Linked DNA regions of Lytechinus pictus. The protein of the gene in region 2 purifies or fractionates together with the protein of the main gene of each other region. This does not show direct contact. Links are inferred from orthologs where the notes say so. Each region holds a gene or a part of one and is shown on either strand. Other genes may lie near its edges.

What was found. The genes of interacting proteins can lie anywhere in the genome.
Region 1: the proteins of ZZ-type zinc finger-containing protein 3-like (region 2) and YEATS domain-containing protein 2-like purify together in Homo sapiens (affinity purification with mass spectrometry; 3 studies listed by BioGRID, with this or other methods). This does not show direct contact. The link is inferred for Lytechinus pictus from reciprocal best matches to the Homo sapiens genes ZZZ3 and YEATS2.

What each region holds. Positions count from the first base shown.
Region 1 is NW_026974141.1:16,183,953-16,190,976, forward strand, and holds the start of YEATS domain-containing protein 2-like, read left to right. Parts: upstream 1-4,015; 5' UTR 4,016-4,099; intron 4,100-7,024. UniProt on the Homo sapiens protein: Chromatin reader component of the ATAC complex, a complex with histone acetyltransferase activity on histones H3 and H4. YEATS2 specifically recognizes and binds histone H3 crotonylated at 'Lys-27' (H3K27cr).
Region 2 is NC_087259.1:1,649,617-1,657,416, reverse strand, and holds the start of ZZ-type zinc finger-containing protein 3-like, read right to left. Parts: upstream 3,022-7,800; 5' UTR 2,976-3,021; intron 1-2,975.

The sequences.
Region 1 (7,024 bases), on a different chromosome or scaffold from region 2:
ATAAAGAACAAGATTATATCCAACAAAAGATTATTGCAAATCGAAGCGGGAGTTCTTTTGACGTTTAGAACTGAAAACGGGACATTCTATTCACCTATCTAATCATGAAAAGTATGGGGTTTTGCTACAGAAATGATGCGAGCGCGAAGTGCGAGCTGAAAATCTTTATATTCCGATCTGAGAAGCGGACAATTTGAGCACGATTTTAAATAAAGAACGAGTTGTGTAGCTCAATCTCGCTTGCTGATTTCTGTGTATAATTACCATCTTATTTTATTTTTGCACAAAGTCATGCGGAATTATTGGGGGGGGCAAAACGATGTTTGCCCCCAATATTTTCATTGGTGGGGCGATCGCCCCCCCAGGATCGACGCCTCTGTATATACAATGATACTCCATCATGAATCATTCGGAATACATCACCAATCCAGGTTTATATATTATCATTCAATTTTCATGTACATGATGTATAGGCCTATATACAGAATTTGGTATATATTGTGATGCTTTTCACTAAATCCAATGCAATTTGTAATGATGAGTAATTTTTATCTAACTACTTTGATGAAACTGAATATGATGCTTATGACCTGAATTAAAAAAGAGATCCTTCAAGACAGAGCTTTGGAAATAATTCTCCAGTTTTACAGGTATCGTTATCTTTGTTTTTAACTTCTTCCTGAGTGATCAGATGAATAATATTTAACTTAATGGAAGATGAAAATAAATCAAATTTTGTGGCGTAAACATTTAAACGTTAAAACAAAGGTACTGACAAACTGTATTTATACATTGAAAATGATATTGAGTGGTTTCGGGTCTAACGGATATACGTCTGGTTGCGTAATTATACACTCCCGGTACTAGCAACGGGTTTTAGCGAAGCTTTGGACTAAAATATCGAATCAACTTCATAAAACACTATAGTAGCTGTCTTACACTAAATGCCATAGAGGTGGCACAATGTGGAATGTGTAAAGAAGGAAAGTGACTGATCTTTTTTTTATTAGGGCATTGGAAAATAAGATCAAAATTAAAGGATTTGCTCTACGCTTTTGTATGATTCTGGGATTTTTAAATAAATTAAAGATTTCATGACATCTGTGGGCAACTGCCCCGCCCCATGCAGTCCACTCTGTAAGGGCATGCGATAAGCTTTGTTATGACCATTCAACAATAAAATGTATAACCAGGTGCCGCTGATCATTCTTGACCGGCGCCAATCTAGATTTGGTTGGCAATAGGCTCTTCTTCATTATTCTACCGGCGCCTATTTATTGGAACCAGGGGACGCTGATTATTCTTGACCGGCGCCGATTTAGAACAAGTACTGCTGATTATTTTTACCGACGTCACGTAAGATTCAGGCAGCGGCAATTCACAATCGACTGGCGCCGATTTAGAACCAGGAGGCGCCGATTATTCTTGACTGGCGCCGATTTTTAACCAGGTGGTGCTGATTATTCTTGTCCGGCGCCGATTTAGATTTAGGTGGAGCTGATTATTCTTGATCGGCGCCGGTTAAGACTCAGGCAGCGCCGATTTATAACCAGATGGCGCTGATTATTCTTGACCAGCCCCGATTTAGATATAGGTGGCGCTGATTATCCTTGATCGGCGCCGGTTACGAACTCAGTCAGGATTTTTCTTTACCGGCGCCGATTTGACCAGATGGCGCCGATTATTCTTGCCCGGCGCCGATTTAGATTTAGGTGGAGCTGATTATTCTTGATCGGCGCCGGTTAAGACTCTGGCAGCGCTGATTTATAACCAGATGGCGCTGATTATTCTTGTCCGGCCCCGATTTAGATTTAGGTGGCGCTGATTATCCTTAATCGGAGCCGGTTAAGAACTCAGGCAGCGCCGATTTTTCTTTACCGGCGCCGATTTGACCAGATGGCGCCAATTATTCTTGCCCGGCGCCGATTTAGATTTAGGTGGAGCTGATTATTCTTGATCGGCGCCGGTTAAGACTCTGGCAGCGCCGATTTATAACCAGATGGCGCTGATTATTCTTGTCCGGCCCCGAGTTAGATTTAGGTGGCGCTGATTATCCTTAATCGGCGCCGGTTAAGAACTCAGGCAGCGTCGATTTTTCTTGACTGGCGCTGATTTATAACCAAATGGCGCTGGTTATTCTTGATTGGCGCCAGTTATATGCAGGCAGCGCACTGCTGATTATTTTTAACAGGCGAAGTTGTTGGGAAAAGGGTAGTTAAAAGAAAAAATAAGGAAGATGATTATGATTGCGCTTTGCTGGGGGATAGTCTTTCCTTTACTGTTGCTAATATAATATTAGTGTATTATTTTTTAAGCGGCGCCTTTTCTTTTCTTTCCTTTATTTTTATTTTTCAAGCAGTGCCTTTTCTTTTCTTTTTTTTTGAACGGCGCCTTCGGCGCCGCTCAAATATTAGGGGGGGGCGCGCCCCCTGCGCCACCCCCTGGATCCGCCACTGATGTTCGGGGTATATTTTGTTAATTTCCATCATAACTTTGAAAGTTTATGGATCTGGTTCATGAAACTTGGACATAAGAGTAATCAAGTATTATTCAACACCCTGACTGAGTTTCAGGTCACATGACCAAGGTGAAAAGTCATTCAGGGTCAATGAACTTAGATTATGTCGGGGATCATCGAAACAAAATCTGAACCAAGATTGAATTTTTAAATATCATAACTCTGAAAGTATATAGTTCATGAAACTAGGACATTAAGACTAATCAAGCATGGCATCAGTGAACACCCTGCGTGAGTTTCAGGTCACATGACCACGGTCAATTAACTTTGGCCGTGTTGGGGGTATTTGTTGAATTGCCATCATAACTTTTAAAGTTTATGGATCTGGTTCATGAAAGATGAGGTTGTATCACTAATCGTCTTGCATAAGTCTTTGGTCACATGATAAACATGATAAAGGTCAAATATTATTTAGGGTCAGTGAACATAGTATTTTATCGTCATATTATGAATGGTGATTTTGTGAATGATTATTCTATTGTCGTTTTCAAAGTCACCATTGCTGCTGTATTGAATTGCGTAATGCAGGCGAGGATATTTGGAGGGGATGCGTCCTCTAGCCCCCCCCCCCCCCTCTCCCATGCTTTCGTCACTTATGATTAACACTGACATAACATTTTGAGGAATTTTGGTATAAATTCAGGAGGATACGTGTCCCACTGACACTACGAGCACGGAGCGCGTTTCTTCTTCCTCTTATCCTTCTTCTTTTTTTTACTCCTTTCCTTTCTTTGTCCGGGGGTAGATGTCCGGGAGAAGATATCCGGGGGTAGATGTCAGGGAGAAGATGTCCGGGGTAGATGTCCGTGCTGGGTTAAATGTCCAGGGGTAGATGTCCGGGGGTAAATGTCCAGGCCGGTAGATGTCCGGGGGTAGACGTCCGGGCTGGGGTAATATGTCCAGGGGTAGATGTCCGGGGAGTAGATGTCCGGGGGTAGATGTCCGGCGGTAAATATCCAGGGGGTAGATGTTCGGGGGTAGATCAATGCCCAGGAGTAGATTTCCGGGGGTAGATGTATGGGGGTAGATGCATGTCCGGCAGATCGATGTCCAGGGGTAGATGCATGTCCGGGGGTAGATGTCCGGCGATGGATGCCGAGGGGTATTCGGCCAGGATATAACAATACACCAGTCGGTGGACTGTACTTTATCAGAAGAAGAAGAAGAAGAAGAAGAAGAAGGATATTTTAACTGGAGGGAGGATAAGGTTATTTTCGAGGATGAATTTGACCCATGGAGAATTATATCTCTATGATTTGACCCCTCAGGAGATGCCTTTATAAATGCCGATTTATTTCTAAAATGGGCCGGTCGAGGGACGTTTTTCTGGTCAGATATGGATTGTAAGATATATAACCTATCTACTGGTGGTAAACATTGGACCCCTGAATTTCATCCGTATTTTTAATGTTTTTTTTTTTTTATTGCCATGGCCCGCGAGACCTGTTGAGCGCATGACTATAGTTCATTGTCGCAAGAGGGAGACGTTGCACTAATGCTTATTATCAAGGGTCAGAAATGGCGACCCTTTCACGGTAATCCGCCACTGAAAGCCTCCTGAAATACCGTGTTTTCCAGGAAGTAAGTAGAGTTTCCTATGTTATTAATGCGCTATTCACATGTAATAATCATCTTTGTTTCACTTGAATGTAATATGATGCGTAAGAAATGTATGTTCTAAGTTAGAATGGAAAATTACTCTGATCATCATTTTTTTCGCGTGTTTTTAAATGGATGACTGGTTTGTGTGGTCCCATATATTGTAAATTATTGAAGTAGATCTCGTATGACAGACCAAAGACAAGTCGGACAAACGACAACTTTTCATCTTATAATTTTCCATAGATGATACTGCACTTTGTTATTTTTTGAAAGGTATTCTGCAGTTAAAGCTGATATATACTGTTTATTATTTTTATCATAGCCTAGACTAGAGGACTCGACTCCTATTCCTAACCCAGGGGCAGGGGAGCTCTGATATTTTTTATGTGATTTTATTTTTAACTCCCATGGCCTGGGCGCTAGCGGCTACCTCGGGCGAAGTTCGTGCAGGCTCCACTCCACTTCACTACCGCTACACTTCGGGACGGTGAACCATTTCGGATATTTCGAGTGACAAAGGTGTGATAAAATGATGGTTTAAAATTAAAGTCTTTATTGTAAAAATTACAGAAAAAAAATATAACGAGAAAGATAAATAGCTTAATATCTTATTATTACCTGATGTACTGGAAAAATGCAGCCAACTTTCCAGGACTAGCTATCGTCCAAGCTCAATCTTCTTCCACAAGTATAATATATGAGTGTCAGTGTCCAGTGTACATGGTGCATTTGCAATCATTTTTTTTCAAATCAAATCATTCCCAAGGCCGGGTGACTGTACCATTCTCTATTCCAGAACTTATCAAGCCTGGCTTGGAAGGAGTTTACAGATGGAGCAGAGACAACTTCATTTGGTAGCGAGTTCCAGTCATGCACTATCTTACTCTACACCCGTATTTCACTCCGTGTCCATCCTCCGGTTATCCTCAAAATTTGTGATTTTGGGCCAGTAATGTATCGAATTCCTCACACGTATTATTCACGGCCGATTTCAAAGTATGCGCATATCGAGTGGACCTTCCTAATATAATAGCAACACTGATGTGTGTTGCTGCCCTCTACGTTCGTTGCATACAATGTTTTGAAATCGGCCTTGAATAATATGTGTGAGGAATTTGATACTGGCCCAAAATCACCAATTTTGAGGATAACCGGAGGATGGACACGGAGTGAAATACGGCATTCCTGTCAACTGTCCCGATTAAATCTGAAAAATACGATTTTCGAAATTTTAGACCCCCCAAAATCGGAATGTCCCGTTTTTTCAATTTTTGAAGGAGAGATTTCGTCATAAGCCAAATCCACCCGAAATCGCGGTTATTTGGCGTATTTATCGCAAAGTTCCAGCGAGTTGGCGGGCTGAGAGGTATTTCTCGCCACCGCGATGCGTTTCTCTCGCACAACATTATGCCCTGAATGTGCAGGTATTGATGGGTTTCCCGCCAGCGCAGCCCCGATGGCTTATTTGTCCGTGTATACGGCTCGGAGACTGGTGTCCTTTCTTTCGTAAATGACACTATCATGGCGTTGATGTAGTTCATTAAGAAATGGTAACCAGTCTAGCGCCTATATCCAAGTGCAGCGAAGACGTGACTGTGAACCGTGATTACAGCTGGAACTCCTAAAACAGGTTCATCATTGTTACTTTCTTTTTATTGTGATGATTTATGTTTGGACCCTTACACGTATATTTTTTCGTATGTTGAGTCTTTGTAATGTGTTTTTCGTTCCGGCTCTGTCACTAAGTTAAATCACGCGCAGTCGTTGAAAGCACGCGTGGCCATCGCCAGTGCAAACGGCTCGATAGGCCTTGTGTTGGCCGCAACTCTGGGCGTCGTGATTCGTGATTTATGTTGAAGTGCTTGGCCAAGTCTACCATCATGGCATGGCATTGGCTATCCAGCGAACAGTCTGAAATGCGAAAACGTATTTCAACATGAAAATATATCCCTCTCACAGCGGATACAAAAGATTTTATAATCCTAAGCATGATATTTGGATTGAAGTGAGGTGCTCTTTCATTTGATCTATCTAGACTGTAGTTCATGACTGTAGTTTGAAGTTTGTTTGAGAAAGATGAAATGAATTAATGGTTCAAAAGTGGGGTCTGCGCCTGCGCTCGCAGTCCGGCCCCCAGATCAGTTGATTTTATATTTAAAAAAAAAAGAATTTTAGATCGTTCAACACCTTTTTTTTTAATTGAAGAGATTCATTTTTTGTCTTGAAGTTGAAAGGAATTATGGAGGGCCATTAGAGACATAAAATGACCCTACAGGTGTGTTTATATATGTATAGAGTAATTCTGGTATCATTTAAAGCCTCCAATGTCCTCCAGAATGCCATTTTCCTTTCGATCCGCCCCTTGAAAACCCCGTCAGAGACGCTGCCCCTGGACCCCCGTCCAAGGGTGTTCCTATTTCAAATCTTCAAATGTTGGCAGGTATGATAACTTGACTGCAGGAACAACTGTATTTTTCCAGTAGATGCGGTATAAAGGTATAAAGGTATAAAGGTATGATACGGGTGTAGAGTAAGATATTAAGCTATTTATCTTTCTCGTTATATTTTTTTTCTGTTATTTTTACAATAAACCATCATTTTATCCCACCTTTGTCACTCAGAATATCTGAAATGGTTCACCGTCCCAAAGTTCGGGTAGGTGGAGCGTAGTGTAGCGGTAGTGAAGTGGAGTGGAGCCTGCACGAACTTCGCCCGAGGTAGCCAGCGGCTAGATATAGATTGTGCTGTTGGGCATGTGCGCAAATAGTCATGCGTTAATTTGCTCCAAGTGTTCTTGCATATTTTGAGTGGTTCGTTTAGTTACGTTTAGCGGTATCTTCATATTTTCTGGCAGCCGAATTGATGGTCTATCAATATGACATGTTTCCACGGCTCCTCCGGGAG
Region 2 (7,800 bases):
AGAATCAAGGTCACTAGTAGGAGAGACTGTATGAGAAGAGCGCACAATGTCAGATTTAAAAGACGATATATACACGGAGCGTAACTTACGATAGCACAGAAATTTCTTCATTAGGGGAGGGTGGGCAATATCAATGAGGCACTTCACAGCTGCGTGGTCAGAAGGAAGCTCTTCAATAATAGAGACGGAAGAAACAAAAGAATCATCACTGTCAGTTATTAAAAGATCCAAAGTATGACCAGCAATGTGGGTAGAAGCATTAACATGTTGCATAAAACCAGGAGCAGTCACCATATCACGGAAAAGAATTGCTTCAGAATCTCCTGCCGAGTCCCAATGGACATTGAAATCTCCAGCCAGAAGAAATTTGCAAGGTTGTGACAAAAGTAATTCAACAAAGCTACCAAAATCCTCCAGAAACATTGCGCTAGTAAGTTTATTCTTCTTATTAGGAGGGGGGCGGGCGATAAATGACTACTAAATGGAATGAAGTGCTCATGGAACTAATGTTCATGTCCAATTGTTCAAAAGATTTATAACTTTGACCAACATTGAGTTTCATCTTAACCCCATCACGAAGGAGAACACCAACACCACCAGCTCTCGAGTGACCGCGTGGTAAGTGATGCAACGAATAATTAGGAAGTGTGTTCTTAATATCAGCTAGGGTGCGAGAATCACGATGATCACCAGTTAACCATGTCTCGGTCAAGACAAAGATATCCAATCGATGACTAATAACAAAGTCACATGGAGCAGTAGACTTGTTTTTAGAATTTATAGAATGTGCATTCCACGAAGCAAAACAAAGACGTTGATGATCAGGGATACCAGACGGTGTGGAATATGAAGGGATTTTTCTTCTCCGACAACCCCCTTTCCTGCCTCTATGAGCGTTATGTCTCCTGTAAGGTTTTCTAAAGATTCCGAGCCATTCAATATGTTGGACAAGAGAAGGAGAGATATGATGAGATGAATAAGCATTATCAGAAGCATCCGGTCGAAGACGTAGAAGTTCACCTCTACTGTAAGAAACAGGTGATACAGGATATGTGGTTGCATTTTCAGGTCCTGGGTTGGGGTTTATATCACCAAAAACCAAGATATCTACCTGAAAAGTTGATGAAGAGTTAGAGTAGTATAGGATCCGTGAAGAGAAGTATTTCACATGATAAAGTTCACAGCCCATTCTTTCTCTATGCAGATTGGGTAGACATTCTATGCTTTCACTGCTATTGAAAGCACACAGAAGCAAAAAGAGGTAGATTAAAACCCCCATTGTGGTATTGTTACTGTAGAGCCGTCCCAATGAAGAGATAATTCATTACGGGATTATAAATAATTAGTAGTATTATACTCATTATTTATAATCACGTAATGAATTTTATTATTTGTAAAATAATAATTTTATCTATAAATTGTTCTTCAAAACAGCATTGCTAACTGGACGTACGTCCTACGTAAGCGGTTCAAGGGACGATCCTATTGTATGTATTTGCGTTGTGTACATTTGGATCGAGGGATCTACACGACATCGGTCTGGTAAGAAACCTTTATTTTTTCATATTTTGATGGAAATTTTTTTTAACCTTCTTATGCATTAGGCGTAGGAAGGTGTAGAGAATAATAAAATCACGATCATTTATGCATATTTTTTGCATATATGGGCGGGGATTCAAGACTCCATGATGAAGAAGTATATGTCAAATTTTTTTAAAAAGACATCATCATGGAGTCCTCAAGACTACATTTGATCCCACCCACGGGTACATTACCGCCGCCGTGCACAGGATAACCACTGGCACGGCACTTGCAATAATTTGAGGCCTATTATTGGCAAGACTTCCATATGTCCACTATATCTAAAATCAAGTAAGCTTTGGATATGAAACTTACCAAACGATATGAAGCCAATTTCAATTCCTCTCTGTCTTTCTGGTACTTTTAATATATCGATGATTTTTCTTAAAGTTGAAGCAGGCATGGAGCCAATTCGCTGGTTTTCTCTATACGCACAGAGAGGGCGTGCGATATAATTTAATAAACTTGCTTGTTTACGTCGTTTACATCAGATCAGCTGTACTGCTGGTTGCGTTCTATTTGCTCCGCATTTTTTTCGCTGTTCAGCGTTATTTTATGATGTAGCGCCATCAGCGATTATATACGTGAGATGCAACCTGTTGATTTTTTTGGTACAATTTCCTATTATGCGCCGGCGACTTGAATCTAGACTGTTCGATAGGAAAAATTCGCATTTCAATTGTTTGCGTAATTTCCACCGCAGTATTAAGGATCAGACGGAGTATCTTGGCTGAGATTTGGAGGTAAGCGTTTAAAATCCCTTTTTATAAATACGTTCGAGCACATTTTTAAAATTGAATTCAATGTCACTGATAAGAGTTAGATGAATAAATTTAGTATATTGTGAAGATTTTGGCATGTGTCATTCTCTCACATTCGTGTGATGAATGAAAACGTCAAAATTCATTATGAAATGACATGCGTTGTGCGAAATTTGTACAACTAACCTCGCATGCTTGTGCCTTGTGAAGTTGTGTGAGTGATTTGATCCCACTCACACAACATGCAAGGTTAGTATACTAACCTCGCACAACGCATGTAATTTCATAATGAATTTTGACGTTTTCATTCATCACACGAATGTGAGAATATGAAACACGCCTAAATCTTCACAATATACTAAATTTAGTAATCTTAATCGTATAATGTAATCTAATTTTAAAAATCAGCACGAACTTATCTATAAGTTTTGGTCTGCAGTGCAATATACTCACCCTTGCCCTTGGGAATAGTAACTCTGGCACAGCACACAGGCACACGTTATTTTAATAGTTAGATGGAGATAGCAACAGTGATAGACCTGGAAACACGACTGCATAATAGTAATTGCATTTTTCCAGTAGATCCGGTAATAAAGGTAATAAAGGTAATAAAAATGGATTTTAAACGCTTACCTCCAAATCTCAGCCAGTTACTCCGACCGATCCTTAATACTGCGGTGGAAATTACGCAAACAAAAATTGAAATGCGAATTTTTCCTATCGAACAGTCTAGATTCAAGTCGCCGGCGCATAATAGGAAATTGTACCAAAAATCAACAGGTTGTATGTCACGTATAATCGCTGATGGCGCTACATCATAAAATAACGGTGAACAGCGAAAAAAATGCGGAGCGCCTAGAACGCAACCAGCAGTATAGACCAAAAGCTTCAGTCTCTGTATTTTGGTTGTTCCGCTGAACTACGTTGGCTCCACTCACCATACATAGACTGAAGGGGATGGGGCCCCGTACCTACAGCCAACGTATAGTGAACTAGCGTTTTATAGATCGCGATTTAAAACTGTTTTTTAAGCAAAATTGAAAGTTTCATGGTTTCCATTATCAGGGAAATATATATAACTTAAGTAATTGCATACCTTGGGCCGGAGTGATTGAAAAAAATCCTCTGGATGATTGAGAAATCTGTCATCTAAGACATTTTCACCTGACCTGACGGTTTTTCTTGCAAGTTGCCATCTTGAATGACGTCATTGTCGTTATTAACTTAATGTCTCGAATCGATATATCGCGATTATAACTAGTACTCGTACTAGTATAACTAGTATCGTTTATCTTCGGTTTCGTTCGCATATGGAGCAGATCGTATAATATCGAAAGCAATATCGATATCACATTCGTGATTGTTGACGTTCGTTTGTAAATATTTTATAGTTTGGCTGCCATTTTGACCATTTTTATCGTGTTCAACCCAATTAAACATCGGTAAAGTATATTTTTCATGCCTTTTTCATCTATATCGTTTAAAGTATTTAAATGTTGGAATATCATCAATTAAAAGTTTGTTGTTTATACATCCTTAGATTGTAAATTCGATGTGTAAAATTACATTAAACTTTGGACTGTGAATTGACAAAAGGGAGGGAATGAGAACACATGCGAGCCCACACGTACACCCTACCGTCGGTAAATGGGGATTACAGTAAAATGTCAGAGATTGTTGAATAAATCCCCAGAAACGACGGTTATTCCTGTCTACCAGCAGTACAGCTGATCTGACGTCAACGACGCAAACAAGCAAGTTTATTAAATAATATCGGAGACATTTTCGGTTCTAACCAACGAACGTAGAGGGCAGCAACACACAAGCGTGTTGCTCTAAGGAAGGTCAACTCCGCTCGAATTTTGTGACCACTTTAAAAAATAAGGTGGGGTTTTGGGAAATTTGTCGAGTTGATTTTTTTTCATTTGTTAATTTCAAATATTTTTTAATGAACAATTATTAGATCGGTTATTCTGGATATAAATATTAAAAATATTACTTTCATTTTTAAAGAAAATATTTAGCTTAAATAATCATGATTTTGACATTTTTCCTCATTTTGGAATATTAAGCCTGTGACGAGGATACCTCATATCTCTTATTTTCTTCTGCTGAATTTCGCTGCACCACTAATAAATGCATAGACAACCACCGCAATAATCGAGGTCATTTTTCTGGCCTGGGTGCGCCGAGTCTGGGCCGGTCGCGCAGCTAGCTAGTGACGTTGATGATGCGCTGGGGCTTCAGGCGACTCGTCATAGATCTAGCAACTTAGACAATGACGTCTAATTTGCCTGGCCTGATTTGAAGTGTAATGGCTTCAGGGCTGATGTTTATCAACGATGATTGTTCAAGGTTAGATTTCAAATTTTAAATGTCATTTGACTTTTAAGTCTATAAATCTGAAATAAAGGCGTTGTATCCCCGAAATCCGGGTCTAAATTTCAACTCTGAGTCCGTTACCATGGCATGGACGGCGAAAAACAACCCATGCATCGGATGCATTGCATTGGCTGCGCGCTGCGCTGCAGCTGCACTGTGATGATGGGTTCAGCGAAGAGCTCAGAGAAAATAAGGTGGTTATATTCAATCCCGAAATGCTTTGCGAGTGGTCACAAAAATCGTCTCGACGCAAATCACCTAATACAGCCGTCTGGTGAAATCGCTGATAACAACAATAACCGATTTGGTAATGATTTTAGTTTCCTGAAACTTATATTTGTAAAGTTTTAAATATCAAAGTATGTTTTTATATGTATGTATATTCCTCAACATATTTTTTAAGTTATCTTTGATATTGTTGTAGTCATATTCTTTCATATTCGTTTTTTGATCGCTACTAATTTGTTGTTGTATTTGATCGGCATTTGATTTCGTTGGCATGAACAATAAAATACGCGCGCAGCTCAGCTGCATGCGCGTATCGAGTTGACCTTCCTTATAGCAACACGCTTGTGTGTTGCTGCCCTCTACGTTCGTTGGTTCTAACTTAACCATAGAGATGTATACATCTCTATGGTTCTAACTCAAGTGCGCCCCCTTTTTAAAGCGAGACCCTTTTCTGTTTGCTAATAATTTTTGTGGACGAGTTAGTAGGTGGAAAACTTTTTTTGCGTGTCATTTTTCAGGAAAATGTGCCCCCCCCCTGGAAAATCCTGGATCTGCCCCTGATTAATGTGATACGTTAAATGTAAATAATGCAATTATTGTTTAGTCTGTAGAGCAATACCTCAATGGGACCTCAATGCAGCTAGTCCAAGTGGATGTCAGGTTCACAACGGGTTTGACGTCATATATGGGAAGCTGCCCCATGACATTTTATGCACTACAAAACGGTTCATAATTGTTTTAAAAAATATTTCAGTAGCGTAAGTGAAATGATTTGTCTATTGATATATACTGAAGATAAAAAAAAACATTTTGATTTTTCTAGAAAATTACATTTCATTAATATTTTCTATACACCAAATACGGGAAAACTGCTCGCAAATGACGTCATCATTGAAATATAAAAGTATAGCATTTTTAATCTTTGATTGATTTCCTAAAACCCTCACCAATATTATTTTATTTTTTTCTGCTATTCTACAATGACTTTTAACTGAGGTTGAACTTCCCCTTTAATGAATTAAGTGCAATTGCGATCAAGAGTGTGCTTCAAACTTGAATATTAATACAGCGATTTGACATGAGAAGGCCGTCCATGAGAGTCCAGAAAAAATAAGATATTCCAGCCAAAAGATTATCAATTTGGTGCAGACGATCTATCTATGATTTTAAAAATGTCACCCTTTCCATTATTTTTATTTTATTAGAACCTTTCTTAGTTAATCAATGTAGGGCTTACATGCGGGGGCTTTTTGATTTTTTTAATGGGGGTTTAAGACCCTTTTTACCTATACCATTATGACCTCTGCCATTTTTACCTCTGCAATTATTACTTCTGCCATTTTTACCTCTGCCATTATTACCTCTGCCATTTTACCTCTGCCTTTATTACCTCTGCCATTTTTACCTCTGCCATTTTAATTACCTCTGCCATTTTTACCTCTGCCATTATTACCTCTGCCATTTTTACCTCTGCCATTATTACCTCTGCCATTTTACCTCTGCCTTTATTACCTCTGCCATTTTTACCTCTGCCATTTTTACCTCTGCCATTTTTACCTCTGCCATTTTTACCTCTGCCATTTTTACCTCTGCCATTTTCACCTCTGCCATTTTTACCTCTGCCATTATTATCTCTGCCATTTTTGACCTCTGCCATTTTTACCACTGCCATTATTACCTTTGCCATTTTTACACCGAGCCATGTCAACTTAACGTGCCTGACTTCGTTGCCAGGCGACTTTCTTCTTCTATATACAACCCGTAATATATTTGTGAATTTAAAAAAAATAAGGTACCCGGCCTTCAGCTCTAGAATTAAAAATTGCATATTTAATAAAAAGAACAACAGAATTGACACATTAATTCGACAAGAATTTCCAGGTAATCCTAAAAATATTTCCCTCCAATTCAAAGTTCTTAATTCAGCTAAACAAAAATGATTAATACAAAATTGCCACAGAGGTTGAACTTTTTATGCAATCCATGAGTATATGAAAGTACGATTCAGTTTTTGTACAACCAAACGAACAATAATTATCTCCCACGAAACCAAATCTCATCAAATGTTCTTTTGTATATATGATATATTGCTCCATGTAAAAGCATAAACTGAAATTCCCTTTGTTTTCTTATAAGAGTTGTACTCCTGATATATCCAAATAATTTACAAATTTCTACATCAGTAAAATTAAAATCACTGTGACCATCCTTGAGTGTTAATTTGTATAGCTCTTGTAGATTGGTAATAAACAAGTTATAAATTGTTTTTTATTTAATTACTTCAAAAGCTGTTTCCTGTTTTCCAATATTCATACTTATTCCAAAGCCTACCCAGGTAACAAGCCAACGTTGGCTCCACGTTGGAAACTTGAAAGTCGTTGGACGTTGGAAAAACTTGATGGATTAACGTTGAATCGACGTTGGAAACTAGTTTGATGGAAAGTTGATGGACAATCAACAATGACACGACGTTGGCAACGTTGGAAACTTGTTAGTTGGAGAGTTGTTGGACAGTCGACAATGTCACAACGTTGGAAACACGTTTGATTGGATAGTTGTTGAACAGCCAGCAAAGGCACAACGTTGGCAACGTTGGAAACTAGTTCGCTGGAAAGTTGTTGAACAACCGACAATGGCACAACGTTGACAAAGTTGGAAACTAGTTTGTTGGAGATTTGTTGGACGGTCGACAATGTCACAACGTTGGAAACACGTTTGATTGGATAGTTGTTGAACAGCCATCAGAGGCACAACGTTGGAAACTAGTTCGCTGGAAAGTTGCTGAACAACCGACAATGGCACAACGTTGACAAAGTTGGAAACTAGTTTGTTGGAGATTTGTTGGACG